5 linked regions of the Ovis aries genome follow. The protein of the gene in region 2 interacts with the protein of the main gene of each other region in a biochemical or structural test. Links are inferred from orthologs where the notes say so. Each region holds a gene or a part of one and is shown on either strand. Other genes may lie near its edges.

Region 1 (5,829 bases), on a different chromosome or scaffold from region 2:
CCATGGACTGCAGCCTACCAGGCTCCTCCGTCCATGGGATTTTCCAGGCAAAAGTACTGGAGTGGGGTGCCGTTGGTTAAAGAGATTATTGTTTCTCTTTTAAATTGCCTTGGCACTTTTCTACCTTTAACTGGTAGAAAATCAGTTGGCCACTTCTAACTGGATCTATTTCTTCTAAGTGGATGTAGGCTCTGTTCTGTTCTGATTTTTCCAGAAAAAGTAAGATTAAAGCACAGTACCTCTCGTGAAAGCCTATTCATACTTTATCCAATAGCATTTTTATTATAATATTTCCATTGCCTGTGAAGAATATAGTCTATTTTTTTGTGCAAGTTTGTAGTATGCTCTGGTCAAAAGCATTTTTAGCTGGACGCAATTTAAATACTGTAACTCATGTTACAGTGGGAACAATGGTCACTATGGTCTAATGCCTTTTGAGGATGAGATGTACACCTTATACCTGAAATATACACCTTCCCCTCCTCCTGCATTTTTTTAAACCATACACAACTCCCAGGTTGGTGAGTGTTCAAGAGAAGCCCTGCCTCACACCTAGGAGGTCCCCATCTCACCACACCTTGGTGATGTTTCCCAGTTTCGAAGACCGTCTTAAACCTTTGCTGCTTATTCAAATGTCAGACATAAGACTACCAAGGCAAACTTCTGTTCTCTTGCTCAGTAATTAATAGGCAAGGTCATCAGTTGTAGACAAGTAAGTGTTAGATAATACGGGTGTTCCCACATTCCCATCTGGTGGTGCTGGACACTCACCATGCAGGGTGAGAGGGGGAAGAAAGATGAAAAAGTACTTAGAAATTCCTCTCCACTGTAAGCCACGTGTTTGTGTCTGTCCTCATCATCTGCACAGAAACGCACGGCCACTCCCGTATGGTGCCCTGCTTTCATTTAGGACACGTTTGCTCATATACGATGTCTCTAAGGCTTCTTACTCTCTTGCGTTTCAAACTCTGAAAGTGAAAGTGAAAGCTGCTCAGTCGCATCTGACTCTTTGTGACCCCTGGAACTCTCCAGGCCAGAATACTGGAGTCAAGCCTTTCCCTTCTCCAGGGCGGCTTCCCAATCCAGGGATCAAACCCAGGTCTCCCCCATTGAAGGTGGATTCTTTCAAACCCTAGTCGGAAGGAACACCTGGGTGTGTTGGGGAGTTGATGCCTTGATTTTGTAGTAAGGTACTTAAAAAACTACCTACCATATGTCAGTGTTATCATTCATGAAAGAAAGGATATTTGAGCTGCCAGTGATGAAGACTGCCTCGGACTGGCATTGTTCCTGTACCAGAATCTGAGAACTGCCATTCAGACCCCTGGGAAGGACACAGGGCCAGAATCAGTCTCAGGATGTCAAGGGTGTTCGAGAGGGGATTCCTGAAGCGGGGGAATTATGTTAGGTCAGCCATCCGGTCCTTTCCAACACAAAGAGCGGATGACCTCATGATCTGGAAAAACCTGGGATTGCTTCTCAGTTGTCTCGCTCTGACAGCCCAGCCCTCATCCCAGGTGCCTCGCTTCCCCTAGGAAACAGATACGTGAACTCGGGGCTGAACGTATCCTTGGAAATTCAGTTTGTTCTCTTTACAAAGGGGAGTTGTTTGTGTCACCCAGACAGCCGGTGGCCAGGGCAGAGACAGCTCTGTCAGGCTTTCCAGTCTCTAGATTGGCCGGTCCAGCCTGACGGCTCAGCCACGCCAGCTGCCCTCTTCCTCTCCAGCTCTGTTGCCCTCTGGGTGCCTCCACGCCCAGTTCCTTCCCCTCCTGTCATCTCACCGTGGTCCCTAGAGGAGCTGTCTCTCTCTGTTTTCTGTGCTCCACTCTTTTACCCCCGTTTCTGATGGGGAGGTGGCAGTGTGCACACATGCCCGTCTGGGGCTAGGAGTCTGCGTGCAGAATCCAGGAAGTGCTTTCAGCCTCTGAAATGACACTTCCTATGTTCCGACAACAATGGAGTGCCAGTCACACAGGATGAGCACACACGGCGGACGGCGGCTGGCTGGGGTGGTAAGGGAGCAACAGTCTGCCTTCTTCCTTTAAATCTTCCAATATTGCCGAGTCATTAGTTTTTAATGGATGGAACATTGTGAGAAATAGAGATGTGTATATAGGCTCCACTCTTTTGTCTTTGAGTTTAGAAAAATGATGCCTGAGCCCAAGAGGCTGGAGAGCTGCTTGGCCTCCTTGTGGGTGGAACTTAGAAAATAAAAGTGGAATTACTTGACATTGTTTTCAAAGCGTTAGTCATCACAGTGAGAAAAGGGAAGTCAGGCATAGACATGGTGGCCAAGAGCAGCCAATGTTTGTGGGTGATGCAAGCATAAGTGTCATCATATTAATTAATGACTGAAATTAATACCAACTAGGAGGTCAGTTGAGGCGGCCAGTTATAGAATAGCTATTCAGAAACCTATATTTTCCTTTTAAGCCCATAATGATCATTTAGAGATTGTAAGGTAAAAAAATGATTTCATTCACAGTAACAACAAAATGCATTAAAAACCTAGGAAAATTGTCACAAAAATGCGTAGGATCCAAAGTGAAAAAGACTGAAGACTCTGTTAAAGAGTGTAAAAGGCGATCCAGATGTTCTTGGATAGAAAGACCTACTCTTGAAAATATGTCTGTTTCTCATGAATTAGCTGTAATTCAGTACAGTTCAAAGCAAATTATGTGTGAGCTTAAAAAAAAAAAACCCCACAATTAATCTAAAGTTTATCTGTAAGAATGCAGCTGGGAGGATGGCTAGAAAATAGAAGTGTGTGTGTGTGTGTGTGTGTGTGTGTGTGTGTGTGTGTCTAGCTTCTATAAGATGTATTTAAAAGTTTTCATATACTAAGTTTCAGGCTTCCCAGGTGGCGCTAGTGGTAAAGAACCCACCAGCCAGTGCAGGAGATGCAGGAGACCTGGGCTGGGAAGATGCCCTGGAGGCGGGCATGGAGAATCCCAGGGACAGAGGAACCTAGGGGGCCTCAGTCCATAGAATCACACAGAGTCAGACATGCCTGAAGCGACTTGGCACACACGCACGCATGTAGTGAGTTTCACTTTTTTTGAGATACAAGTCTGTATGTTTTCATAACTATGTGAGGCTCTGCAGCCACACCAGACCAGGAGACAGTGCGCCCCCGCCACCCCCTCCGATCTTCAGGCTGCCCCTTTGTAGTCTGAACTCCCCCTCTGTCCCTAATCCAAGGCAACCATGGACCTCTGGTTGGACAACCCACTCTAACATTCTTGCCTGGGAAATTCCATGGACAGACGAGCCTGGCAGACTTCTGTCCATGGGGTCGCAAAAGAGTCTGACACAACTTAGCAACTAAACAACATTCTGTCAAGTGGAAATGTACGGTGTACTATACCACTACGTGGAAACACATCACAATGTCATTATCTATTCATCCACTGAAGGATTTCCATATCTTTGTTTTTGAGAAATTATGAGCAAAGCCAAAGCTGTAAGTTTTGTGTACTGATTTTTGGAATGACATGTTTTCAGTTCTGTAGGGAGAGGGTGGACTTGCTTGAATTTATTCCTGAATTTAGGGGGAAAGCATTCAGTTTTTTAAATAGTAAGTATAATGTTAGCTGTCGGGATTCTGTAAATGTCCTCTATCAGGTTAGAGAAGTTTCCCTGTATTCTTAATTTGCTGTTTTTTTTTTTTTTTTTATGTCATGAGTGGATGTTAAATTTAATCAAATGCATTTTGCGTATCTATCCAGATACTGAGGTGGTTTTTATTCTTTAATCTGCTAATTGCTTGATTTTCTCATGTTGATCCAGCCTAGAATTCCAGGCTAGATTCTACTTGGCGTTGATGTGTGTTTTTCTCATGAATGGCTGCGATTTGCTAATATTTCGATGAGGACTTTAGTGCCTATATTCATGAGGGATATTGGGCTATCGTTTACCTTTCTTGTGTATTATTCCTCTGGTTTGGGCTGCACAGAATGAGATGGGAATTTTCCCATCTTTTATTTTTCTGGAAAAGACTGTAGAATTTGTATTATTCCTTTATTGAATGTTTGGAAAAGGGCTTGGGATTTCTTTCTTGGAAGATTATTTTTAACTCGATTTCTTTCAATACAGGACTAGTTAGAATATCTACTTCTTGAGTGAGTTTTGATAGTCTGCATTCTTGAAGGAAATTGGTCAAGTCCATCCAAGTTGTCAAATTGCTTACAGAGTTGTTTATAGCATTGCTTTGCTCTTTGTCTAACATCACTGAGATAACATGGTATTCCTTATTTTGGTGATGTTTGTCTTTCCTCTTTTTTTCTTGGGCAGTCTGGCTAGAGGTTTCTCAATTTTCTTGATCTTTTCAAAGAAACAACTTCTGGTTTTATTGATTTTATCTTCTGTTTTTCTTTTTTAATTTAATTCACACTTGTTCCTGTCTTTATTTTTTCCTCTCATTTTGCTTGGTTGGGTTTAATTTGTTCTTCTCCTTTTTCCTCATTTCTTAGGCTTAGATTACTTATTTGAAAACTACCTTCTTTTATAATATAAGCATCTGACTGTCTCTATTCTTTCCTCTAAGCACTGCTTTACTGGCATCCTGCAGATTTTGATATTTTGTATTTTCATTTTTATTCCATTCCAAACATTTTATAATTTCCCTTGTGACTTACTTTTTGACCCAGGGATTATTTAGGTGTGTGTTTAATTTCCACATATTTTTTCTGTGGGGAGGGTTCTAAGCATTTTTTTTTTGTCATTAATTTGTAGTTTAATTCTACTGTGGTCAGAGAACCTCCTTTGTGTGATTTCAGTTATTCTAAATTTGTTAAGGTTTGTTGTGTGGCTGAGGCCATGGTCCATCTTTAGAGTTTTCTTTTGCTGGATGGGCTGTTCTGTAAGTGTTGGTTAGGTTAAGTTGTTTACTATGCTGTTCAGCTCTTTTATAGTCCTGACTCCAAGTATAATTTATTTATTTTTGTTGTGCCACACTGCTTTTGGGATCTTAGTTCCCCAACCAGGGATCGGCGAACCTGGGCTCTGGCAGGGAGAATGCCAAGTCCTAACCAGTGGACTGCCAGGGAATTCCCTAAAGTATAGTTTTAGAATCTGACTATTTCTCCTTTCATTTCAATTTATTTTTTCACTTATTTTGATTCTGTGTTGCTAGGTGCCTACACATTTAGATTGTTTCATCTTCTTGGTGAATTTTATCATCATATATTCTGAAGATAGATATATATACTTTAACATGGAATGATCTATACAGTGTTTCTCTGAGAAAATAAATATAATGATTCTATTTATGTAAATTTTATCTGTTTATCATCATCACTCTATCATCTATCCATTATCTATCTATCCACCCACCTATCAATCATTTGTCTAGCCTACTAATCTATCCAACTAATGCCTACCTCCAACCCTTAGACCAGCTAGGGATTTGGAACAATGTTATCCAAATGTTGATGGTGTTTATATTGAGTGATTTAACTTGGGGGAATTTTAATTTTTTTCCTATGCTTTTCTACAGTGTGGAAATTTCCTAGAAGTATCTTTATAAAAAAAATAAAACCATTTTAGTAGGGGATTGCCCTAAGTGAGATCCACAGTGAAGAACAGGGAAGCAAAAGAACTGGAAAGTGAAAACAAGCAGTTTACAGACTCACATGGAAATTGATCTTTATATTCTCTTTCAACTCCTCAAAAATTTTTCACATATTTTAAAAAATATTTTTACATCCAAAATATGTATTTATATCCAGTGTTTTTCTCCTACTCAAGATCAAGAAAATAGCGATTTCATTTTTTTCCCCACCGTGCTGCATTCCCTGGCTAGCTACTGGTTCAGCATTTCAGAAT
Region 2 (5,928 bases):
GACATCAGGTGTGAATTCCAGGCAAAACTGTTTGCGGGCTTTGCCATCTGGATGTGAGGGCCCTAAATAAGGACTTGCCACATATGGCATCTCTAGGTACAGACATCAGGCTTAAACTGCCAGAGGTGTGCCAGCAGAATGGAGCTCCAGGTGTTAACGGCCCCCAGGTGAGGCCCTTCCTTGGCTATGGCAGAGCACGCCTGTCCCTGTGGGGTTGCAGACACCCCGCTGTCTGGCTTGCCCAGGCCTCCACACCCCCTGAAGAATCCCTCAGTGAAGACCCAGTAACCAGGCCACCTCGCCTATTGTTCAGAGATATTCCATCAATACACTGAGATCTACCACCGGTGACCTCTCTTAGCTCCCTGCCCAGGTTCCAGACACTGAAGGTCTCTCTCCCTTTCCCTGAATTTGCTTCAGGATTGAGCCTGGGCTTTGGGGTGGGGGGCAGTTAGACCCAGATAGAAAAAAGCCCTGGCCCAGGCCCCATCCTCACCCCCACCTCCAGCAGACAAGGTTTCAGCCCCTGCTGAATGAACAGCTCTCAAATGGGAGCGGTTCTGCACCCCGCCCCCACCACCAGGGGATATTTGGCAACTCTGGAGACATTTTTGGTTATCATGATTGGCAGTAACACTGGCGTCCAGTGGGCAGAAGCAGGAATGCTGGCAAATACCCTACAAGGCACAAGACAGAGCTCACAGCATAGAAGTATCCAGCCCAAATGTCAATAGACTGCTGTTAGTCACACGCAGTGGCGACTGGGGCTGCACCAATGAGGGGTTCAGGGTCACGGGCAGTGACAAGAATGGAGAAGAAGATGGGGGGTTGAGGGAGGAGAAGAAGACAAGGGTTCAATCCCTGGGTTGGGAAGATCCCTTGGAGGAGGAAATGGCAACCCACTCCAGTATTCTCGCCTGGGGAAGCCACAGGACAGAGGTGCACAGAGGACTACTGTTCCATGGGGCCCCAAGAGCTGGACGTGAATGAGCGACTAAGTGAAGCCGAAAAAAAAGAGAAAGCGCTGGGCCTGGAGCGGGCAGAGCTGGGCCCCCGCGGCCAGTGCGCCTCCTTGTACAAGTCCCGTAGCCTCTCCGCCTTTTTCGTCAGGTGGAAACAGGCCGAAAGGATTGGATGAGAAGATAAAACAGGGAAGAAGCTCGCCCGTGCCTGCACACCAAGGCTGCTCCAGAAACGCACGCTGGGGGTATGGGGTGTTGGTGGGGAGCAGGAGCGTGGGGTTTTAGGGTAGGGAATTCATGTCCCTGAGAGCTAACTGGATCCGATCCTCGGAATTCCAAAGAAGCCTCGGGAAGGGTATGCTTTTCCTTCCCCAGAACGCAGCGGTGGCGCCCGCCGGGGCCAGGCCAGGCTGGGGAAGTCAGGGCAGGGCGGGGCCTGCTACTCACCGCTGTGGCTTTCTCCATCACTGCTGAGATAGGGGTAATATTCGTGCGTTTGGCGTTGGTAGAGATCCGTGTCATAGGGAACTAGGTCTTCCGATGGCTGCTGAGAGAGGAGGGGGTCAGAACTCGGAGTGCGGCGGGGAGACCCCAGGCAGGTTGGCAGGACACCCCAGGATGTTGGGTCCACACTGAGCCCCTTTATCAACTGGGAGAGGCCACGCAGGGCGCAAGCGGGGGGACCCAGGGGTGCAAGAGCCTTGGCTCCGGCGGAAAGGGGGTGACAGAGACCTTGGAGGGTCAGAGGTCAAAAGAAGACAGGTCTGAGGGGACAGCTCCCCCGGCCACCTCACACTCACGCTCCACGGCATGCCCAGGTCCCAGCCTCACACACTCGCCCGCTCACAGGCACATCGACGTGCCTAAACCACCCCCCAAATGCACACAAACTCCCCCTGACACATTTCTTCCCACACTCCCAATGTGAGCTCACACGTCCACTCACAGCCCTCACACTCACCCCAGGCACACACGCCAGTATACACTTGCCTGTAGGCGCTTGCAGAGTCCCTGGGGTTGACATGCGAATCCACTCCCTCACCTCCAAGCGCGCTGACACACACTCACGCCCATGTCCTTGCTCGGTCACTCATGTTCCTGCACGCCCATCGCCCAGCACACAGGCTTGTCCTCCTGCCATAGTCCCCCAGGCCCCCAGGCTCTCTCGCTGCCCGATGTCCAGGTCCCAGGCCGGCTCAGGGCCCCCACCCCCACACTGGCTGTCCACACTGATGGGCTTTAAAGGACTCACCCCACGCAGGGCTAAGGCCATGGCTTTGGGGGCCTCTCCCTCCTCCCCTTTCCTCCAGAGACACTCCCTGGTCCCCCTCCCTCCGTCTCCCCATCCCTGTCCCTCCCCACCCCACTCCCTGGCCAGGCACTGGGATATGCACACCCAGAGGCTTCCCGACAGTCACCAGGCCTCTCCCCACCCCCGCGCGTGTGCCCAAGGATTGCACAACTGTCACCCCGGCCCTCGGGGCTTGGTTTGGGGGCCAGAGCTGCCTTGGGAGCCCACCTTCACAGGACCCACTCTGCGTCCCCCCTGGACTGGGCCAAGGGGCTCAGGAGGCTCGCATGGAGCCCAGGAGGACATGTCTCCCACTCAGCTTTAGCTGGGGTTCAGGCATTGAGAGGTCAAGGGTCAGAGACAGGGTGGCCGGGCCCCGAGGCCTCTGGCTGTCTTGAGGCAGAGTGGGCTCTTCCTGAGACCACCCCCTATCACCCTCTGCCTGTCTCCCCCATCTTCTAGGTTCCAGGTGGGGGTGGGGGGGCCAGGGCCAGGTCAGAAGCCGGCTGGCTTGTCCCATCTGTGCCCGGCCCTGCGTGGAGCCTGGCTCTGGGTCTGCAGACAGCACAGCCCCACAGAAGGGTGTCAGGCTGGGGTGCCTCCCTGGGGCTCTGGGCCTGCCTGGGGTGGGGTGGCCGGGGATAGGGGGAAGGGAGCTGCCTCCAAGCCGGGAAAGCTGAGTCAGATGGGCAGGCCCGGCCAAGCCCTTCCCAGTTACCCCCAGGGCTCCCCATCCCCGGCTGAGTGCGGAAGGGGGTGAGGAAAGGGAGAGGGGTCCTCTCAGAGGGGCCTGGTGGTGTGACACCTGCCGGAGGCTGCAACTGTCACTGAGAGCGGGAGCGGAGGGGGTCTGCCCCAGACGGCCGCCCTGCCATCCCTGGAGTCCCCTGGGACGCCCGCTTCTTCACCTCCGGCCTCAGCCGCTGCCCTCACTCCCGTCTCTCCTTGGACGAGGTCCTCCCCCAGCCCCAGTCTCAGCCCCGGGAAGGCTCTGCCCTCCTCTCCGCAGTCCCAGCCCCAGCTGCCTGGCCAGCCCCTGCTCCCCTTGCTGCCCCAGCCCCCGCCTCTGCCTCCGCCACTCGGGGCCCAAGGCCCAGACCTCTCGGGTCAACAGGCACGTCCTCTGTGCCTGGGTGGCAAGGACCCAGGTGTAAGGCAGCCACGGTCTCGAGGAGCACCCAGTCCAGGGCCCGGACCTTCGGCCTCTTGCCTCCTGCCCTCCAGCCCTTCACTGTCCCGGGGACCGGCTTCCCTCCACGCCAGCCTTCCCGCTCCTCCACCACCAGCTCCCCGCTGCCCTCACCACCCTCAGCCCAGCCCCCCCAGGCCCGTGGAACCCCGGCTGCCACCCAAGCCCCATCTATAAATAACCGTTCAGGCCCCATCGATCACAGCCCCACCGTGGGCCCGGCCCTCAGCCCGCCGGGGTGTGCTTGCTCCAAGGAGGCCGATGGCCCTCTTGCTTGGGTCTCAGGCCCTGGGGCTCCAGGGAGGAAACACCAACTTCCCACTGATAGGGGAAGGCAGGCGGCGGGCTGGCGGGCAGGTGGCGGGCGTCCGAGGGCCGCGGGCTGGGCTGGTGGAGGAGTCCCGATACTCACAGGGGGAACGAGGGGAAACCCTTCCATTTTGCACGCCTGTAACATCCAGCCGAGCTCCGAGCCGGTCAGGTCCCCTGCCTCGGTGGGGGCCAGTGCGGAGCCCCTGGGGATGGGGCGCCCCGTCGGGGGTGGGGGGGGCTGGACCGCTTCGGGGCGGGTGCAGGGCTCAGGCCTGCCCCTTGAGCTACAGGAGCCCTGGGTGAGCCCCCTCCCTTGACATTGCAGGGCCAGCGCAAGTTCCTGATTTTATCGAAGGCCTGCCGCTGGGAGATAGTCCCCTTGGGGTGACATCACTGCCCCGGCCCGTTTGCATAAATCTCTTGCGCTACAGGAAGTCTCTGGCCGGCTGGGGCAGGTGGTGCTCCAGGGGCTGGCCTGGGAGGCTGAGGGGGAAGCCGGGACTGTGAGGGGCGGCCTTGAGGGCTGGGGTAGGGTGGGAGAACGGGAGGGCGGAAGGCTGGCTGCACCACCACGAGGAGGGCCTTGCTGCCCCCCGGGGCCTGTGGAGGCTCTCTCACCCCGAAACCCCGCAGATGCCTACTACTTTTGAGAGCCCCCCTCCATGTGGCCAACAGTCACTTCCTTGGGGGATCGGAGCTGGTAAGGGTGTCCTCTTGGGGCCTCCACGCTCTGGGGTCAGCCTGGTTGGCCTAGGGCTCTGGTCCGGCTAACTGCCAGGCCTGGCTCTTCCTGGGCCCATAGGCTCCCAACCGCTCGGTCCTACCAAGCCTGGGGCTGGGCCCTGGGGCCTGGTCATCAGCATCGTGCTGATTTCTCCTTCCTTCCACCAGCTTCATTTCCACCAGAAGGATTCTTACACCCTCCCCTCCCAGCTTCCTAAGGGTCACCATGCCTTCCATATCTCTGTTCCCAGCCCAGATTTTTCAGTCTCCCCACCCCTTACCAATGCCTGACTGTCAATCGAGTCTTCCTAGTTTACAAACTTTTCTTGTCTGTCCATCCGTTCATCTGTTTTCCATCCATTTACTCATCTGTTTTCTCAGTCCCTCTATCCACCCGTCAAGCCAGCCGTTCACTTGTCTCTCAGTTTAATCCAGCTCTTCATTCCCCCATTTATCTGTCAGTCTACGATCCATCCACCCATCTGTTTGTCTTCTCATCCACTGAGCCATCATACGTCCATTTATCAGCCCATCCACTTGTTACTCATCCACGTTTCCAGCTGTGTGTCCATCGCGTGTCCAGCTGTCAGTCTGATCATTCATTGGTCCGTCCATTCATCTAGCCATCCATCCATGTATGCATTCCACCATATCAGCTGAGTTCTAGGCTTCATGCCCATACGATATGGCTCAGACGGTAAAGCGTCTGCCTGCAATGTGGGAGACCTGGGTTCAAGCCCTGGGTTGGGAAGATCCCCTGGAGAAGGAAATGGCAACCCACTCCAGTTCTCTTGCCTGGGAAATCCCATGGACACAGGTGAGTGGCAGGCTATAGTCCATGGGGTTGCAAAGAGTCAGACACGACTGAGTGACTAACACACACAGGGTTTATGCTCAGTCCTGGGAAAAGAGAAAGGTCCTGGACAAGACTCCTGTCTTCAGGGAGTTCCTGATCTAGTCTGAAGGGCAGAAGGATGAACAGAGGCCATTTTTAAATCTTTGGTCTCTAGTAAGCCCACTTCTCCAGCTCACTGAGAGCTCACTCTCCTCTCCTGCGTAGTCTTACCCTTGCTCTGAGTCCCATTCGCACTAACACTGCGTCCTTCCTGTCAGTGGACCACAGATACCCGAGTGCTTCTTCACTTGCGGCGAAGGCCAGGGGATGGCAGGCCTGGATTCACCATGAGACTCCTCCCGTCTACATCTTCACTGTTTTGCCTCCATCTGTGGGACTTTCCAAGGAGTCCAGGTCGCTGGTCCTCAGGACACCCTAGGAACCTGACCAAGGCCCCTCCCCAAGAAGAGGGGAGAGGCGGGCTGACTTGGCATCTGTGCCATCCCTGACCCCACTTTCTCATCAAGAAGGCCTGTCCCCACTGACTGCACGGCTGTGAGGCTGGGCTCTGCTGCACGAGAGCCACGTCCTGCTCGATGTGTTCATTCATTCATTC
Region 3 (5,796 bases), on a different chromosome or scaffold from region 2:
CAGCCCTGAATTACTAACAGAAACCTAAAAAGGACAAAATGCATCTGTCTAGCTTCACAAGGAATGCGTGATACATCTTAGAATGGGATTCATCAAGAACAGTTACAATAAAAATGTGAGATGCTTAAACAGAGGTTAGCTTTTATTTCACTGATTGGAGTATAGCACCCCCAATCATAATAAGCATCAAGAGTATGAAAGAATCCCCAAAGTTAAAAGTTAAAAAAAAAGGCAAAGATCACTTCAAAAATGTAAAATGACAATTTCACTGGTAAATACTAACACTGGGGAATTTCTCCTTAGCAAAAAAATGATTGGTGTGCGCAAAGATTTAGCTACACAGTGCTGTCTGTATTATGAAAAAATGGAAATAACCTAAATGTCCTACAATAGGGGATTAATTGGGTAAATTTTTATTTATCCTTATGGAAGAATAATATATACCCATTACAAATGATGTTGCAGAAGTACGTTTCATGACACAGAAAGACGCTCATTATAGATGTATACCTACAGATGATTATCTATGAATTCAAATTTTTATTTTAAAGCACACTTTACTCTCTCCTGTTGCCTTCCCAAGGTCAATTTCTCAGACCACATGAAATGCAAACTTCGCTTCCCTAATCTCACTCTGCATTTTCCAGCAGCTGTGTCAGTTTCCTAGGGGTAGGACAAGCACTCATTTGCTGCACAGAAAACAGACTTAGCAACTCAGAAGCCACTTGTTTTCTCTTCTTGCTCGAAAGGTCTTGGTTTCTGTAGTGCATTCCCACTCCCTTCTGTCATTTAAGGCACCCCAACCCTTCTCCCCCTTCCAGGGTTTCAGCACCTTCCATTTGCTTAACACCCAGGTAGTCTCATTCCTCACAGTTTCTCCTGCCTCTCTGCCTCTCAGCTCCCTCACCCATCAGTATCTGGGAGACAGCTCTGACCCATTCCTATTGGTTTCCTGGGAACCAAGTGTGGCCTTAGTCACAGCATCAGATTCTGGTGTACCAGAATTGGATTAACCCATCTATTTCGTCTGTGGGAGGAAAGCTATAGCGTGACTGACAGGTGGAATGGTGCATCCATGTGTCTGTTTCCAGCCTGCAGCACTGCAACTGGGTGCTGCTATGGAGGGAGAGCTGGGATGACAGGAATGACACAGCCAACCTGACCTGGAAGAGAGATTTACTTCTGAGTCAGCAACTTTGGGGAGATGAAGAAAGAAGCCTGCTGGCCAGAGCTCTGGAGAGAAAAATGAAGATTCAGCCCGGCCTCTAGGTGTACAAGTAGGGCAAGGTCTAGTTGTAAGCACAGGAGTTCGATAGCTATCATTCCCAAAGCACCTGGGACCTGGGCTCCCCAACCCTTTAGCTAGACCCATGGCCTTGATCAAGGTAAGCAAATACCCCACTTGCCCAGAATCTCTCTGGACCAAGCCCTGAGGCCCCAGAAACTAAACCAGTGCTGCCAGGGAAGGCTCTCCTGCAAGGACCAAGTGAGGCTGTGGAGGTGGCCTAAGGCAGGAGTGCTAGGAGGAACCAAGGCTACCCCACCCCCACCCCAACTCAGCAGTCCTGGCTTCTCTGAAACCCTTCTCTCTTTCCCTAAGGCCAGCAGCGGGGCAGTCCCAAGAATGTAGATGGAGAAGCGGAAGAGGTCTGTCCCTGGTCACAGACTCTAGCAGGGGCCTCGAAAACCACGCATCATCTGCTGCCCAAGTAGGGCCTGATGTTTCAGACTTCATCTCTCTGTCACGGGAAAGCAGCAAAGTAGGGCTATTGTTTTGGAGTTGAGGAAACTACAGCTGCCAAACAGGGATTTCTTCTCGTCTTGGCAGCCCCACGCAGGGTAGGATTTCCTTTACTTCCCCGGGGAAGGTGAAGCCCCCGGAGGTGGGCCACCCCTCGAAGGTTTGAAGGCCGAAACGCTCCCTGCTTGACACCCATTAACGGGCTTGAGGAAGCGGGTTGGTTTTCAAGGACTCAATGCTCGCGTCCACTCTGAAGAGGACGGCAGGTGCCGGGGTGACCCCCTCACCGGGGCTGGGAAGACAAGGGATCCCGGGGCATCCCCAGGAAAGAAGAGCAAGGAGACGGCCTCAGGAGCGAGCAGGCTGGGTGAGCGCCGAGTGAGGGGAGCAACTGCGGGCCGGGGGCGTTCGACTTTCCAGGAGCGCTGGTGCGCTGGTATGGGGGTGGAGTGGGAGCCGGCGGGGCGGGCCCGCGGTCGCCCCGGGGCGGCGGCGCCAGGCCGGAGGGGGTGGGGAGGGGCAGCCGCCCTGTACTTCCCCTTCGCCGCTAGCTCTACAACAGCCTGATTTCCCCGAAATGATGAGGCGGCGCTGGCCAATGGGCGTCCGCTCGGCTCTGTAGGAGGCGGGGCCCGGCCCGGGCTGGGGGAATCCCGCTAAGTGTTTAGATTCTCCGCGGCGCCGCGGTTCAGGCAGAGCGCGCCACTCCTTCGTCGAGGCAGGACGTGCGCCCAAGTCTGGCAAGCAGAGGCCAGCGAGAGCCGTGCCAAGTCAAGGCCAGCCGTGCCAAGTCAAGGCCAGCCGTGCCCAGCGGCTCCGCGACCCGGGCATCCTCTGCCTTCTCCCCGTTCCCACTGGAATCGCGCTCCTAGCGCCGGCAAAAGCAGTCCTCGCCGGGACCCTCGGTTGCTGCCGTCGGGGAGCGCCTGCCGTCGAGGTGAGCGCGCCTTCGCCGCAGGGGGCACCGGTGGCTTCGGACAAAGGCGCTCTCGGGGCACCAGGAAGTGGGGGACTAAAACCCTTGCCGGGAGAGTGACGGGTGCGCGGCGTTGCCGGGGCCCCCGCGCGGGCTCGGAGGGCGCCCGAGGAGCCGCAAGCAGCTGCGCGGGGAGGGCGGGCAGCGGCGTGGACCGCCCACCCCGCCGAGGTTGTCCGTGCCAGAGCCGCTGGCGGCCTCTGGGTGGCCCTGTGTGTTGGTTGCGCGCATCCAAGGGCTGTGCGGGGGATTCGACTGTATATCAAAGCATGGGCGCCCTTTGCTCCCTGCGCCCGCTTTTCGGCGGTTCCAGCTCAGGCCCAGCCCCCAGGTTTCGGGCTGTCTCTGCAGGTGGCGGAGGCTGGGGCCGGCTGCGCTGGGTGGTTGGAGGACCTCCCGGAACCGCGGGAAGAGGCGCCACAGGTGTTCTTTGGGCCACTTTGCCCAAGGAGGGCAACCAGGCCCAAAGGGTTAGCGTACCGGCCTTGGCACTGTGGCTGTCAGGCAGGCAAGGGATAGATTGGGGGGGGGGGTTGGTGACGAGGATGCAGGGTGACTGTCCATTAGCGAAGGTGCACGGCTAGTGACAACAACTCAAACAGGGAAATTTCTTGGCATCAAGCAAAAGAAGCCCCTCTCTTCCCAAACAATTTGAATTTGGGGAGTAAAGTTCTAGTATTTAGATATCTGTGTGTTTTGTCTCTTTTCCTTAACATAATCTTCAAAGTATCACTTAGCATGTCTGTCCTCTCCCAAGACTGTCTAGGAGGGGCTGAGGGAGGGAGTGTGTTGCTTAAGATGCTGAAAAGATTTGGAGGGAGGTTTTATTAGAGAGAAAGTCCCCTTCTGCATGATTGTAGTACTTGGTATCTAGATGAGGGCAGGGGAGGGTAACTGAATGACTTGGGGTGGGGCTGGGTAGTGGCCAGGGACTGCTCAACAGACTCCTAACAGGAGCCTTCTGTCTTCTCTTCACAGCCAACATGCCTATCACTCGGATGCGCATGAGACCCTGGCTAGAGATGCAGATTAATTCCAACCAAATCCCAGGGCTGATCTGGATTAATAAAGTGAGTGTTACTCTTTGGATTTTTCTGCCACTGTTTTAACCTATGTTCTTCGGGGGTCCAACGCTTCAGATGCAGTTCAAAAAGGGAAGTGATAAGGAGTAGGTAGATGTATTTCCCAGTGGATCCTGCAGGGAGTGTATAAGACACAGCCTAGGCAGGGCCCCACTGGCTGCCTTCTGCCCACCTCACTTCTTGAGGTATGCATGGGGCATCGACCTCGGGCCACTTAACAGTTTTCCAGCAGCAAGATTCTCCCAGCATCTGCAGAGCCAGAGTTCTGGCCTGTACTGAGGGAGACCTCTACAGGCACACACAGCCTTCTAGAGGGCTCCGCTTGGGCAGATAGGAGACAGAGAAGTGGGCACTGCTGGCAGGAAGAGGTGGCTGCCCCAGCAGGTGAGCCAAGAATTAACCTTGCACCAGTTGTCCAGACCCAAGAGGCCTCTTGCTGCTGCAAAAAGAACAGACCCGGAAGGCTTAGTAGTACTAATAACAGCTAATGCTTACTCTGCTCACTTACTAGGAGTGAGCATGGCACCATGTTAAGTATGTTACTTACATTGTGTCATTTAATCCTCAAAGTCGCCATGCGAGGAAGATTTTACTAATATCTCCATTTTCAGATGAGGAAACAGGCACTGAGAGGTAGATAATGAGATCACACAAAAAGCGATGGAGCCAAGATTTGAACCTGAGCAACTCAACTCAAAAATCCATACTGTTAACCAGCAGTAATGATAACAGTGGGACCTTAGCTTTTATATTTGTTACTGCGGTATTGTTTTTTTCCCCCCATGTCATGGAAACCAGTGAGGGATACAGAGGTACAGTGTCAATGCCAGGGTCACACAGGTAGTCACCATCCAAGTCTGGTCCTGGGCTCCTGCAGGTATATGACCAGAACTCCCTTTGTAGGAGCCAGTGTTCACAGTTGTTCTGAGAAGCCCCATATAATGGACCGAGTTCTCACTTCCATGTTGGTGCTGACAAGCCAGAGAGAAGCATCCAGGGGTCCTCTGTATGGGTCCTAGCACATCTGTAATGAGCAGAAGGAGGTCTTTGCTGACCTGATGATGCCATAGCTCATCAGAACCCAGAGCCTCTTCTGAGAGATCCAGAGGGATGGACCAGTCTGTTTAGGCCATTGTTGGGATGGGTCAACCCCAGCCAGATGTCAGGGTGAAAAAGGGAAGTCAGTCTTTTCCCAGACCTCGAGGGCTGGGCAGACTAAGGCCAAAAACCTGTGGTCTCTGAGCTGACACAGCTTTGTGTGTACGTGTGCTGTATAGGAGGAGATGATCTTCCAGATCCCATGGAAGCACGCTGCGAAGCATGGCTGGGACATCAACAAGGACGCCTGTCTGTTTCGGAGCTGGGCCATTCACACAGGTGAGTGTGCTGGACTCTAGCTTAAGAGGAGCTGGAAAGAGAGAAAGGGAGGCACTTCTGTTAACACAGAGGATCTTCACTGGGGTCTCTGAGTTCCCTGAGATGTACATAATTCATGGTGGGCAGGGAGCAGGCCTGTGTTTTGAGGGGAGAGGTTCATCATTTCAGCAAGTTCACAAAGGAATTTATAAAGCCAAAATCTTAAAAAGTATGGCTTCATGGAATTTGTGGCTGAATTAAAGTTCTCCCTGGCAAAAGCAGAGGCAAGCATTGACACTGAAAAAGATCCAGGCCTTCCTTTTTCTTGATGTTGACTAATGGTCCTGGGCCCATCTGGTTGGCAGCCTCCTTTTATCCTTCAAGGATGGGGCTCTTGGCCCATCTCGGACCACTCAGTCCCCCTATCAGTAAATATTCTTTGTTGCCTACTCTGTGTCCTCTCCCGTGTTTGGAACGATCAGATAAGCACCAGTCCCTTCTTTCTGGCTGCTGACAGCCAAAGAGAGACTGCCTTGATCTGTGACAAAGGTGGCACTTTGGGCTTGGGCTCTCTAGTGCTTCTGGGTAGGGCTTTCCCAGAGGCTTGCTGGGTGTATCAGATGCCCACGTCTGGGCGTTTG
Region 4 (5,791 bases), on a different chromosome or scaffold from region 2:
AACAAAAGAGTTAGAAATGCAATCTCAAAAACAACATAATGATCTCTGTTTGCTTCCAAGGCAAACCACTCAACATCACAGTAATCCAAGTCTGTTCCCCAACCACTAATGCTGAAGAAGCTGAAGTCAATTGGTTCTATGATCTACAAGACCTTCTAAAACTAATATCAGAGAAAGATGTCCTTTTCATCATAGGGGATTGGGATGCAAAAGTAGGTCAAGAGATACATGGAGTAACAGGCAATTTTCACCTTGGAGTACAAAATGAAGCAGGGCAAAGGCTAACTGAGTTTTGCCAGGAGAAGACACTGGTCATAGATAACCCTATGGGGGAACAAAATGAGAGCAAAAGCCGGTGGACATCTAAATAGCACCCCTTTCACTGTTGCTTTATCTACCTCAAATTCTTATCACTATGTGACATTTTATTTTATACTTTTTGTATGTTCACTCTGAATCTTCCCCTACAAGAATGTTAAGTACTTATTCAGTACTCTGCATCCAGAGCCTGGAACAGTGCCTGGTACATAACAGGGATTTAATAAATGAATGGGGGTGGGGTAGGGAATCACATCAGAATCAGACGGTTCCTTCTTAACTGAAGAAGTAGCAAAAAGAGCATTGGATGGATTGGATGATAGCTGGAATCAGAGTAAAGTCGCCTTGACAGACAGTACTATCCTGAACACTCCATTAGCTAAAGTGAAGTGAAATGAGTCACTCAGTCGTGTCTGACTCTTTGAGACCCCATCTAGGCCAGAATACTTGGAGTGGGGTAGCCTTTCCCTTCTCCAGGGGATCTTTTCAACCCCAGGATGCAACCCAGGTCTCCCGCCTTGCAGGTGGATATTAACCAGCTGAGCCACAAGGGAAGCCCTCACTAGCTAAAACTTTTTCCATACTCTTAAATATTTTTCTATACCAGCATTATTGGATCTTAAGTCCCAAATCACCTCTTCCGGGCCGAGCGCTTATTTCTTTGTGTTTCCACTGCCCCCTCTTCCCACTCACCCCAAACCATCTCATCCAACCATGACAGGTTTCGTGCAAGCCTTGGCATGCACCCTCTTGCCCCACCAGAGCTGCAAGAAGGTGAAGGCTACAATTCGTTGTTCAGTTATTTCCCTGCCCCTCTGAGAGTGTGGCATACGGTAGGCTCAAATGAAAGAATGCCTTCGGTAGGCCTCGTAAACCCAAGGTTCTTGTCTGGAACAATGTCAGGCAACTTTGCTGCTTCTACTGAATGTGGTGATACTGAGAAAATGCGGGTGTTGCGGGAGGCTTATAGCAATGTACTTTGTGTGTTTGCGGACAGCAGGTCAAGGGCCCGGGATGGTCGCGCAAACAGGCGTCCGGAACCTAGGCCTTCCCTTGCCCCAGCATCCGCAAAGGCCTATTAATCCTTAATATTCAAATTCCGCCCACTAAACCATCCCCTCGGCGCCCAAGCCGCCTCTTTTCCCCAAATGACGGCCGTTGGCAGCCAATCGGCAGCTAGACGGGGCGTCCGCCCCCTTTTCCCTCGCCGGAACGGACACCGAGTCCCGCCAATTGGGGGCGTCGCCACCGAGGCCCCGCCCCACCCCGGCCAACACATCCAATGGCGCGCCAGCTCGCTGAAGCATCGGGGGCGGGGCGCAGGCGCGCAGGTGCAGCTGTGCGCAAGCCGGTCGGGAGGGCGGGGCGCGACGTCGGCCGTGCGGGGTCTCGGCGTCGGCGGCGCGCGCGCTCCCTCCTCTCAGAGAGAGGGCTGTGGTAAAAGCCGTCCGGAAAATGGCCGCCGCCGCCGCTGCCGCGCCGAGCGGAGGAGGAGGAGGAGGCGAGGAGGAGAGACTGTGAGTGGGACCGCCGCGGCCGCGGGCGGGGACCCTTGCTGGGGGGCGGGGGGTAGGGGCGGGACGTGGCGCGGGAGGGGCCCGCGGGGTCGGGCGACACGGCTGGCGGATGGCGTCCCTCCTCTCTACCCTCCCCCTCCCGCTGGTGACGGCACCCCCCCCCCCGCGGCGGCCCGTTACCCGCACTTGCGGGTGACCGTCTTCGGCGCGGCCTCCTCAGGCTGCCTTTGCCTGCTTCCCCCCACCCTCCCGCCTTCGGCGCGCATCCCGGCCCCCCGGCCCCGCGGGCACCCCTGTCGCCGGGGCTTCGCCTGTCGGGGCTGCGCGCGCGTCGTGCCCTTCGCGGGGCTTCGGGCCCGCGGCGCCGTCGCGCGCCCGCGCCCCCGGCCTCTCCCTGGCTCGCGCTTTCCCGTCTCCCTCCCTCGCGCGCCCCTCTCCCGTTACTCGGCCCCCCCCACTGGCGCGCGTGCGCAGTTCTCCTCCCGTCGGGAGAGTGCGCCACAAGGGCTCCTGGGCAGTCGCCCCCATCTCCAGGCTTTGCCTCCCCCTCCTTCTCGCCCATTCCATGACTTTCTGCCCCCCCACCGTCCCCGCCGCGAGCGAGTTCCTTTCGCATCTAGCAAGAACAAGTAGGTGGGAATTATTGTCCACCCACAAAAGGCACTAGACATTGTGTTCTTGGCCCCAGAGCTCATCAGAAAGAGGCGGTGATAGTTGCCATCAGGAGCCGTGGGGAGGGGACGGGGTGTCCGGCAGCACCCGTAGCGCTTCGATGGGAGCACGCTCCCAGGGCGTTTGCGGGGGGGGGGGGCATGGCCTCAGAATACGAGCGCCCTCCCATCCTTCCCCCCCGCCCGCCCCGCTTCGCCGGCGATCTTCCAGTTACATAAGTGGAGTGGGACTCAGTCTGTGACGGGCTTCCATAGTCCCGGAGCGCGCCCGGCTCAAGATCACCAGTACCAGATGGGGCAAGTTCACCGCATCGCCGGGGTGCCCATCGCTTGGTCCCTGAAAGTTTATTTTCTTTCTAGTTTGCTTCTGAGTCACCCATACTGAAACTCAGGTGACTGATTAGTGGTGTGGCAATGTTTTTTGTGGTTTTGCACTGAAGACTTAAGGTCATGGTGAAGAGTTTAAAAGATTGCTTTCACAGAGGAGACCGTTCATGGCCTTGCTAAGTGTGGATTCCAAGGGCGGGGAAGGCTGGCTGTGGAATACACCTCTGTGGCCGTCGCTTCTACTGTGAGTGTGTTCGGTGTGGATTGGTCACAGCCGAAATGGGCTCCACCACAAAATTGATATTCCTGACTCATGGTCAGGCAGATGTGTGCTTCTCGTTTTTCAGGAACAGGAACGGGCTGCAAAGCCATTCAGAGTTGTGTCTCTGTTGTGCCGATCAGTGCCCCAAATTGTGAGATGGTAGCATAGAATTCTGTGGGTGGTTGGTGATCACAGAACCGAACCTACTGGCCTGTGAGGCTGAGTGGCTTAAGACTTGAGGACTCTGGCAAATTTTAGGCATTTTGTTACATTACAAAAATGAAGCATATATCGGCCTTGGTAGCAAAAATCATTATTAACAGGCAGTTGCTATCCAGGAGAAATTTGGGTTCCACCGTCAGAATTTTCATCTGCATCTGAACGATTTCAACTAAGAATGCCATTAACCTCTTGGGTCCTTTGAAATATGCTGAATCTTTATGTTTTTTTAAAATCTGGTTTTTAGTTTTAGGTCTTTTGGGAATTTCCACTAGGGATTTAGGGAAATAGATTTATTTATGGGCTTTGAAGGACTTCTAAATCCTAGTCCTGGAACCTAGGAAAAAATTTGCTTTCATTTTTTACCCGGACGTATCAGAACCTTAAAGGGCACAATCAGTCACAGAGGTGTAGAGTTGATTGAATAAGTTGCCACAGAACACCCATTCGTGGCATGTCAGCGAGGGGGCTGATCACTGAGGTGCATTCCTGTCTGCACACACAGATACACAAGCCTCACTTAACGAAGATTCCAAGGTTTGTACATCTGAGCCTCAGATGTGACCGGCAAGGGCTCTGTTTCGTTTCCCATCATTGTCAGTGCGTTAGCCGCCTCGGGTGCCCTTCCAGTGAGCTGTTCCATCATACCCCTATCCCACAGCCTCCAGAATATAGTTTGTCTGCAAAGTACCTGGTGGCATCTGAAGTCATGGTGTCCTAACAGCTTGAGGAAACTCTCTATGGCTTTCTTGCCAGTACACACCATACTCATTTGCCTGGAATACAAATTTGCCTGGAATGCTTGCAACCTAGAATCCCAGGTCTTTGTTTCACCTGACAGAGCATGATGCAGTCCAACCATACTCCAACTTTTGTGCTGCTTATGTTGCAAGAGGGTTCGAGTACTGTTTTGCATTTTATTTGCGATTTCCAGCCACAGCCCTTGTTTGCTGGCTGGCCCTGCCTCTTTGTGGCTGAATCTAGTGGGATGGGGAGGCACGCTGTGAAATTTGACAGAAGAATTGGCTAGAGGAGTCCAATATGATGATATCTTCCTCCTGAATACCCCTTCCCCCAAGTGGAGACGGAATGAGAACCTTGCTTCTTGAACCTAGAATAAAGAAGAGCCGATGGAAAAGTGTTAGTTCCTTCCTGGAGGGCGGTTTCCACTGTTAATATACCTGCCCGGGATTATTTACATGATAAATGATGTCTCCTGGAACCCGTGATCTTTTGTAAAGGTGAATATCAGTGAAAATCTTTTAACTGGCTAAGAGCAGTTTGTGGCCAGCTTGCCCGAGTTATCTATGAGAAGAATATTATAGAAAGGATTTGACTTTTGCAGTAACTAGTGTTTCAAGCACAGAGGGGGTAAAACATAGTCCTAGACTGGTGGTTCCAGGGAGCGTGGCAGACACCTGTTTGTTTTCCCCACCCTTTGTTGGTGATGCGCACGCAGACCAGCCTTGTGTGGCTGGCAGACAACCATTTTTTCTTGGGTAGAGCATTATTACTGCTCCAGTTGGAGGACCTTGTTCTCAGTGCTTCTGTACCAGTGCCTTCCAGTGAAACTGTCATTGTCACCACTGTGCCTTTACCTCAGTTTGGGTAGGATGGATGTAAAGTCTCTTTTCCTTGGACTCACTGACACAAAAGTTGTGCTCTTCTGCATTTACCTGGTCTCTTCTGCCTTTCTTTGGCATGGAGCCCCTTCCTGTTGAAAGCTTGCTTTGTACACCTTTGCTTAAAATATTTGGTTCTACCTCTTTGATGGTAGGTATGGTGTCGGGGGGGGGGGGAACAGAGTGAGAGCAGGGCATGGCCACTCCCATATTTAAGAGGCGTTGTGACCATTCTGTTAGAGTAAAGCCTTGGCCTTTTTCACTTCTTCAAGGCACAGTTAACGTTGGTTCTGCTGGTGTGTGAATGTCTTGAGCATAGCTGTTTTGTTATACTGCAGAAGTCTGGACTCTCGGGATCAAGCCTTAGAAAGGCTTCGGTGCGTAAGAGCTGGGGGCACTCTATATACATATATATAGACCTGCAATTCACTGCTGTATTGGGTCTTCACCTAAGTGCTCTCATTTGCTGGCTCTTTTTTTTTCTCCACGAAATCTTGAGTTATCAGAGATCTTAAATTCAGAGCTCGAAGGAACCTTAGTTTAGGTCCCTCAGTTTACAAATAAAAATGCAATTTACCAAGGGAAAAAAAAAGGCAACTGTGAAAAGTTGTGGCTCTTCTAGGGCCTCCCGGCCAGGATGCCGGTTTGATTTTTATTATATAGCTAATTGAGTAATAGCTCAGCTGGTAAAGAATCCACCTGCAGTGCGGGAGACCCTGGTTCGATCCCTCGGTCAGGAAGATCCCCTGGAGAAGGGATAGGCTACCCACTCCAGTATTCACGGGCTTCCGTGGTGGCTCAGATGGTAAAGAATCAGCCTGCAATGTGGGACACCTGGGTTTGATCTCTGGGTTG
Region 5 (6,086 bases), on a different chromosome or scaffold from region 2:
GATCTTTACAGGCTGCGCCACTTGGAGGGGCGTCTAGTCTTCTCTGAGGGGCACTCTGATCTCAGGCGTGTGGGGGAGGGCCAGTCTGAACCTTCTCTCCCTTCTGTTTCAGCCGTGACTAAGACAGGGAAGTCTGCAGTGAGCAGCTAACTGGTGAGGCCAAGCCCTCCCTCCCCACCTCCTGGGGCAGTGAGGACTTCAAGAGTTCAGTGATTAAAACACACGATTCTCTGTATCCACCTCATCATAACAGAAAATACCACTTCTGGTAGATCAATACGACAAATGAGTAAGCCAGAAGATGGCGTTGAAGGTTTGCAATCACATTTTAAAACAAGGCCGACGTGGTTTTCAGCGTCTGAAAGTGCATGAGGGGAGCGGTGAGATAACCAAGTCGCGGCAGAGGACACGTGTGCGAAAGCGCAGAAAGCTCTAGTTGGCGGGGTTTGTTCTCTGCAATCGTCCTGTTGCTGGTGAGCACGCTGGAGAAAGCAATCCACTGGTTAGAGCGCAAGGCAGCTGGGAGGCGGCCATGTCCACTTTGTTGGCTGAGGTATCCAAGTGCTGAGCTCAGTTCCTGACAGTCAGAGGGGCCCCCAAAATATCTGTTGAATGAATGAATCCATGAAAGAAGAAAGGAAGGAAAACCGCCGTGACCAGAATTTTCTTTGAAAAATACCTGCTGTTTACTACACAGACTCTGATAGTGGAAAACTTACTTGAGTGAATAAAAGCATAGCATCCTGTTAATTTCTGAGAAAGCCGTTAGTTTGAGGAAAAGCTCACCCACTCTGTGCCTCACGGCTGTTTTGCTCTAGGCTGGCTTGGTTGTTTTTTTGGATGGGAGACAGTGGCCCAATATTTAAAAGAAAAACTGAGAAATAAGAGAAATCAAAAGTTTTTCAAAAGTAGCGAGTTGACCTAGGGTGGTGGTGGCCTAAAATCATACAGAAACCAGTGATCTGACGGTTTACCTGAAATTGGTGTCTACACAAACATGCTGAAGCATTCGAGATGCTGGGGGGGGGGGGGGCGTTAGATCTTGGAACATTAAGTAAAATCCCTTTGTTTAAATATTGTTCTTATTCTGGCCATTTAAGCTCCCACTTGTAAATTGTTTCTCCCACGTTGAGGTTAAAACTATGCCACTGAGAGGTGGACCTGGACACTTCTTCCAGTTCTTCCCTGCTGCCACAGCTAAAGCTGTGGGGGTGCTGTCTCAGTTACTGAAGTCCTCCAGTTGAGCCGACCAGCAGGATGAGAGCATTTCAAGCCCAGACAGCGTGTGAGCGCAGTTTATAGCTCAAGGTATCTGGGCCATTTCCTTTTTTCTTTTCAATGAGTGTGATGTTCTCTAAACACGGCGGAGGGGCGGGGCTCTCGGTGACAGCCAAGGGTGCCCCCCACCCACCCACGGTCGGTCGACACGGACAGTCCTGTCTTTGGTTACGAGCTCTGCAAGCCCAGTCCCCATCGCACCAGATTCCCGCTCCTGCACGCCCCCACTTCCCGCCCTGACAGCGCCGCTGTAGCTGAGCTCCTGCTCAGCGGTCCCGCCGCGGAGACGAGGTCCCCTCGCGCCTTGCCCTCGGCAGGAAACCGCCCGAGTGAGGCTCCCCCGGCCCGTGCGCCCGACTCGAGGTGCGTCCCCAGCGCCGCCTGGCCCCGCGCCCTCGGCTCTCGGTCCGCAGCCCACTACCCCACCCCGCGCACCCGGCTCCCTGCCCAGAGCCCCCAGACCAGCCCCGCGCGCCCAGCTGGGAGCCGGCGCCCCGCCAGCCCGGGTTCCGACCCGGCCCCGCGCCCCGCGCTCTGCGTCCGCAGCCCCTAGCCCAGCTCCGGCCCCGCGCCCCCGGCCCTCCGTCCGCAGACCCCGCCGCACCCCGCGCGCCCGGCCCCCTGCCCGGAACCCCCGGGCCAGCCCCGCGCGCCCGGCCCGCGCCCGCGGCCCCCGCCCCGCCGGGAGGCGCCCCGGTCGGCCCCGCCCCGCGTAGGCCCCGCCCCGAGCGCGGCTTTCAAGCTTTATAAAGTTCCTCTTTCCTACCTCCGAGGTTAGTTTCGCTGCTTGGACTTGGGACTCACCGCTGCCCTCAGCTCAAGCCGGGGCGAGGTAAGACTGGGGTCGGGAAGGACGCGGGCTGCCAGCCCGCTACCGCAGGAGCCCGGCGCGAGGCCAGCCGGGTGGGGGCCGCCTCGGGGCAGCGCGGGCCGCCGCGGCGTCGGCGCCAGGCGAGAGCACGCCCCTCGAGGGACCCCGACGCCCACCCCGTCTGCCCTTGGCCGGGGAGTCCCGCGGCCCCGGCGTCCGCGGGTCGGCCGAGCCCGGGCCCCGGAGGCCACGCGCGGGGCCGGCTGTGGTAACGAGGTCGCTGGGCCATCAGCGCCCGAGGGGGTCGTCGAAGGGACCCACCCCGGGCGGCAGCCCTGACCGCGGGGACGGCCCCTTCCTCCCGAGGCTGCTTCTCTTGCTCCTCGCTCTTGAGGGGCTCACAGCCCCCTCGGCCCCGAGCCCGCGTCTTCCCGACCGGTGGTGGAAGAGGAGGCGCTCCAAGTTCAGGCCACGAGGGGCCCCGCGCTCCGCGACCCCCGCCTTCCCGGCACCTTCCCGCCCCCGCGCTCCCCGCGGGCCTCCCCGCCCGGCTGATGCTCGGCGCGCGGGGATCCCCCACGACGAGGCTGCGCTCGCCGCCTGAGGCCGGGTCCCTCTGCCGCGTGTGGCTCCCGGGCCACCTGGTCGTCGCTACCTGTCTGGGGCTCCGGGGCATTCTTGGGGCAAAGAGTGCGGGTTTCAGAGAGAGCCGCGGGGGAGCTGCCGCCGCCGCGCACCTGGAAGGCCAGGCCACGGGGGAGCCCGCGTGCGGAACACGCGGGGCCACCGGGGCGCGGGGGCGCGGGCGGGGGCGCGGGCGGAAACTGGCCGTGGCACGGGGGATGGACTGTCCACGGCTTGGGCCTGGGCAGGGGAGCGGGAGTACGAGAGCAAACGGAGGCCCACGCGTGGGGGCGGCTGGATTTCGGGGGTGCGCGAAGATCAGAGCCCTGAGTCTGGGCGGCGTGCGGGCCGCGGGGGGAAACGCGAGTGGAGCGTCCAGAAGGTGAGGTCGCGCACGAGCTCAGGGAGGCGGGAGGGCGGCGCGCCAGGGGCACGCACGAGCCGGGGCGGCTGAGAAGGGCCTTCTCTCGCGGCTCGGGCGTCACAGACTCGGCGGCGCGCGCCTCGCCGCCTCCGAGGCTCTGCGGCCTCGTGGTCATTGCCGAGGGCCGCCTCCTCTCCCCGCAGCGCGGAGCGAGTGCCGGAGCGAAGCCTGGGTTGCGAAGGGACAGCGTCGGCGCGCGGGGCATGAACCTGGAGGGCGGCAGCCGAGGCGGCGAGTTCGGCATGAGCTCCGTGAGCTGCGGCAACGGGAAGCTCCGCCAGTGGCTCATCGACCAGATCGACAGCGGCAAGTACCCGGGGCTGGTGTGGGAGAACGAGGAGAAGAGCATCTTCCGCATCCCCTGGAAGCACGCGGGCAAGCAGGACTACAACCGCGAGGAGGACGCCGCGCTCTTCAAGGTGCCCGGGCGGGGCTGGGAGGGGCCAGGGCCCGCGCGCCGACCCGCCCCGGGCTCCGGGGGCCGGTCCGCGCCGCGCGCACCGGGCCTGGTGCGGGAGCGCGGGGGTCCCGCGGCTGCTCTGGTAACTTCGCAGAGGGCGGAGCCGGTGCCACGCCTGAGGGGCGCACGGTCCCCCGGAGTCAGATGCCCGTCCGCGCTCCCGCCGGGTAGAGGGGTGGGCCAAGGCTGCGCCTCTCTCTCCCTGGGGCCCTCTTTCTGGAACTTTGGGTACCTCCTCGCCTCCACGTACCGACTGTGTCTCCTCCTTGCGCGCGGGCAGCTGTGTGCGCCGCGCCGCTCGGGGCTGGTCCCTGCGCCCTCTCCACGCTGTCCCGCCTCACGCCCCCTCTCTGGCCAGCGCTCTCCTTCGGGCTCTCTCTGGTCCTTGGGCGCGTCTCTCCCTCTGTCTCACTGTCTCTGTGTGACTCCCTCTTCCCGAGTCTCTCCCTGGAAAGTTTTCTCCGTCTCTCTCCCTTCCTCTTTCTCCTCTCTCTCCCTCTCAGGGTCTCCTTTGGGCCTCTCTCTGGGGGTTTCTCTTTGCCCCGTGTGTGTGTCCCTGTCCTGACCGTTTTCCCCTTGGGCAGTTTACCCAGTGGCCAGTGCTTTAGGGCCCAGCCCCACCACCTGTGGGCAGAGCGTGGCAGGGGGACTTCCTCAGGAAACTTGCTGGAAGAGTAAGGCTTGCCTCAGGCTCCCTAACGTCCAGAGGTGCCCTGCGGTGGCCCCTCAGCCCTCAGCTCTGTCTTTGCTTCCAGCCTAACTGCTTCCTGAGGGGTGGGCTTTGTGGGGTCCTCAATCTCACCCGTCTTTCATAAACACCCTCTGTCCCACCTTCCTGTGGACCTGAAGCCCCTGCCGCCATTCTTTGCTTTAGAGATACAATTTCCAGATTCTTTTTTGAAAGACCTGCATTTTAACTTTTCCCCACTTTTTCTCACCAGGCTTGGGCACTGTTTAAAGGGAAGTTTCGAGAAGGCATCGACAAGCCAGACCCTCCCACCTGGAAGACACGCCTGCGGTGTGCTCTGAACAAGAGCAACGACTTCGAGGAGCTGGTGGAGCGGAGCCAGCTGGACATCTCGGACCCCTACAAAGTGTACCGGATCGTCCCCGAGGGAGCCAAGAAAGGTGGGGCTTGCCGGGCTGGGGCCACCTGCGCTCGCGCCTCAAGACGGCTCCCTGTCAGGGTCCTGTTTTCCCTTTGCTGCTTTGTAGCCGGCTCGCCTTGGCCTCCCGGTCCAGCCTAGCGGGCGGGTTTCCCAGCTTCTCTGGGCCCCAAGGGGGAGTTCTCGCGGTGGTGCTGCCGGGTGGTCTCAGGCTCCTGGTCTCTTCCTGTGTGTGCATACGCCTGCGTTTTCTAGGAAGTTCTCCTGAGATTCGGGCCCGATTTCCAAGCCAAGAACGGAAAAGCTGTTTGAAACTTTACTTATTCATCTGTCTCTCGTGATTAGCCATTTTGAGGAAGGGAAGGTTCATGATCTACATTTCGTTACCATTTGTAGTAAGAGAAGTGTCAACATTCAAACTTTGCCGTGGTCAACTGGGCTGCTTATTGAAACTAAGGTTCCCACTTTCCAAGATTCTGGACCCAGAGCAAAGCCCAGTTTAACAAACCACAGGTGACCTCACTAGATGGACGTCTGCTGGGGGAGCTCGTGCCACGAGGCCCATCGCCCTCAGGCTTCTCGACTTGGGCTCGCTTTGTGGCGCCTTGTAGGAACCAGTTTAATGGCCTGGACAAACAATTGCCCAAGGGAGTTGCAGGAAAATGCCCTATTTGTCAACACTGTGCTATGCATTCTAGGAACTGGACTCTCAGGTGTTTTTCTAAGATTTGACGTTTCATGCTGTCAGTTCCTTCTTCACACCGCGCATTTCCCTTTTCCCCAAACCCTCAGGAGCAAAGCAGCTGACCATGGAGGACCCGCAGATGCAGATGAGCCACCCGTACAGCATGCCGACCCCGTACGCCTCGCTGCCTGCCCAGGTGCGGGAGGGGCAGGGCTCCGAGCAGGGAAGGCTGGGCCTGTGAGGGGCGCTTGGGCCAGGTCCCACGTGGCGGGAGCGGCCTGCAAACAGAAGCGAGCAGAACTCCGTTTTGCTGTTTGTCAAACTGCTGAGCCACGTCCCAGGTCACTGGATGGGTGTGTCAGTCTCCACCTGGTGCTGGGGTTTGAAGAGAGGGAGACGAGGGTGGGTGTATCTGCTTGCTGGTTAGATTTCCCCACTGACTCTTCAATCTTCTGGGAAACAGACCTTTTGTGGAAGCCAAAGATTTTGGAAGCAGGGCTTTGTCATGTGAAACCACAGGGCAGCTGACCCCGTCGGACTTTTCCGATGTGAATCCCAGCCCTGTTTTATCCACTTTGCTGGAAGGGAGGCAGAGCCCCCAGAAAGGCTCTTGGTTTAGCCATGTGATGAAGCGTCACATAAAGCCTCACATAAAGCGCCGCTTTACGGCACTGTCTCACTTGCGCTTTCGATTCTTC

The links.
Region 1: the proteins of SPI1 (region 2) and IRF8 form a complex in vitro, tested with the Homo sapiens proteins (3 studies listed by BioGRID). The link is inferred for Ovis aries from reciprocal best matches to the Homo sapiens genes SPI1 and IRF8.
Region 3: the proteins of SPI1 (region 2) and IRF1 form a complex in vitro, tested with the Homo sapiens proteins (2 studies listed by BioGRID). The link is inferred for Ovis aries from reciprocal best matches to the Homo sapiens genes SPI1 and IRF1.
Region 4: the proteins of SPI1 (region 2) and MECP2 form a complex in vitro, tested with the Homo sapiens proteins (2 studies listed by BioGRID). The link is inferred for Ovis aries from reciprocal best matches to the Homo sapiens genes SPI1 and MECP2.
Region 5: the proteins of SPI1 (region 2) and IRF4 are reported together in a solved structure, tested with the Homo sapiens proteins (2 studies listed by BioGRID, with this or other methods). The link is inferred for Ovis aries from reciprocal best matches to the Homo sapiens genes SPI1 and IRF4.

What each region holds. Positions count from the first base shown.
Region 1 is NC_056067.1:11,356,698-11,362,526, forward strand, and holds the start of IRF8 (interferon regulatory factor 8), read left to right. Parts: upstream 1-1,954; 5' UTR 1,955-2,015; intron 2,016-5,829. UniProt on the Homo sapiens protein: Transcription factor that specifically binds to the upstream regulatory region of type I interferon (IFN) and IFN-inducible MHC class I genes (the interferon consensus sequence (ICS)). Can both act as a transcriptional activator or repressor.
Region 2 is NC_056068.1:76,139,912-76,145,839, forward strand, and holds the start of SPI1 (transcription factor PU.1), read right to left. Parts: upstream 4,097-5,928; 5' UTR 3,900-4,096; coding exon 3,855-3,899; intron 2,251-3,854; exon of another isoform or gene 2,236-2,250; coding exon of another isoform or gene 2,215-2,235; intron 1,510-2,214; coding exon 1,410-1,509; intron 1-1,409. UniProt on the Homo sapiens protein: Pioneer transcription factor, which controls hematopoietic cell fate by decompacting stem cell heterochromatin and allowing other transcription factors to enter otherwise inaccessible genomic sites.
Region 3 is NC_056058.1:19,726,083-19,731,878, forward strand, and holds the start of IRF1 (interferon regulatory factor 1), read left to right. Parts: upstream 1-2,455; 5' UTR 2,456-2,678; intron 2,679-3,695; 5' UTR 3,696-3,700; coding exon 3,701-3,787; intron 3,788-5,076; coding exon 5,077-5,176; intron 5,177-5,796. Other genes in the region: uncharacterized protein LOC114114850, read left to right, coding at 1,092-1,269. UniProt on the Homo sapiens protein: Transcriptional regulator which displays a remarkable functional diversity in the regulation of cellular responses.
Region 4 is NC_056080.1:80,217,257-80,223,047, forward strand, and holds the start of MECP2 (methyl-CpG-binding protein 2), read left to right. Parts: upstream 1-1,740; 5' UTR 1,741-1,773; coding exon 1,774-1,835; intron 1,836-5,791. UniProt on the Homo sapiens protein: Chromosomal protein that binds to methylated DNA. It can bind specifically to a single methyl-CpG pair. It is not influenced by sequences flanking the methyl-CpGs.
Region 5 is NC_056073.1:51,017,397-51,023,482, forward strand, and holds the start of IRF4 (interferon regulatory factor 4), read left to right. Parts: upstream 1-2,050; 5' UTR 2,051-2,110; intron 2,111-3,280; 5' UTR 3,281-3,340; coding exon 3,341-3,556; intron 3,557-4,538; coding exon 4,539-4,725; intron 4,726-5,495; coding exon 5,496-5,584; intron 5,585-6,086. UniProt on the Homo sapiens protein: Transcriptional activator. Binds to the interferon-stimulated response element (ISRE) of the MHC class I promoter. Binds the immunoglobulin lambda light chain enhancer, together with PU.1.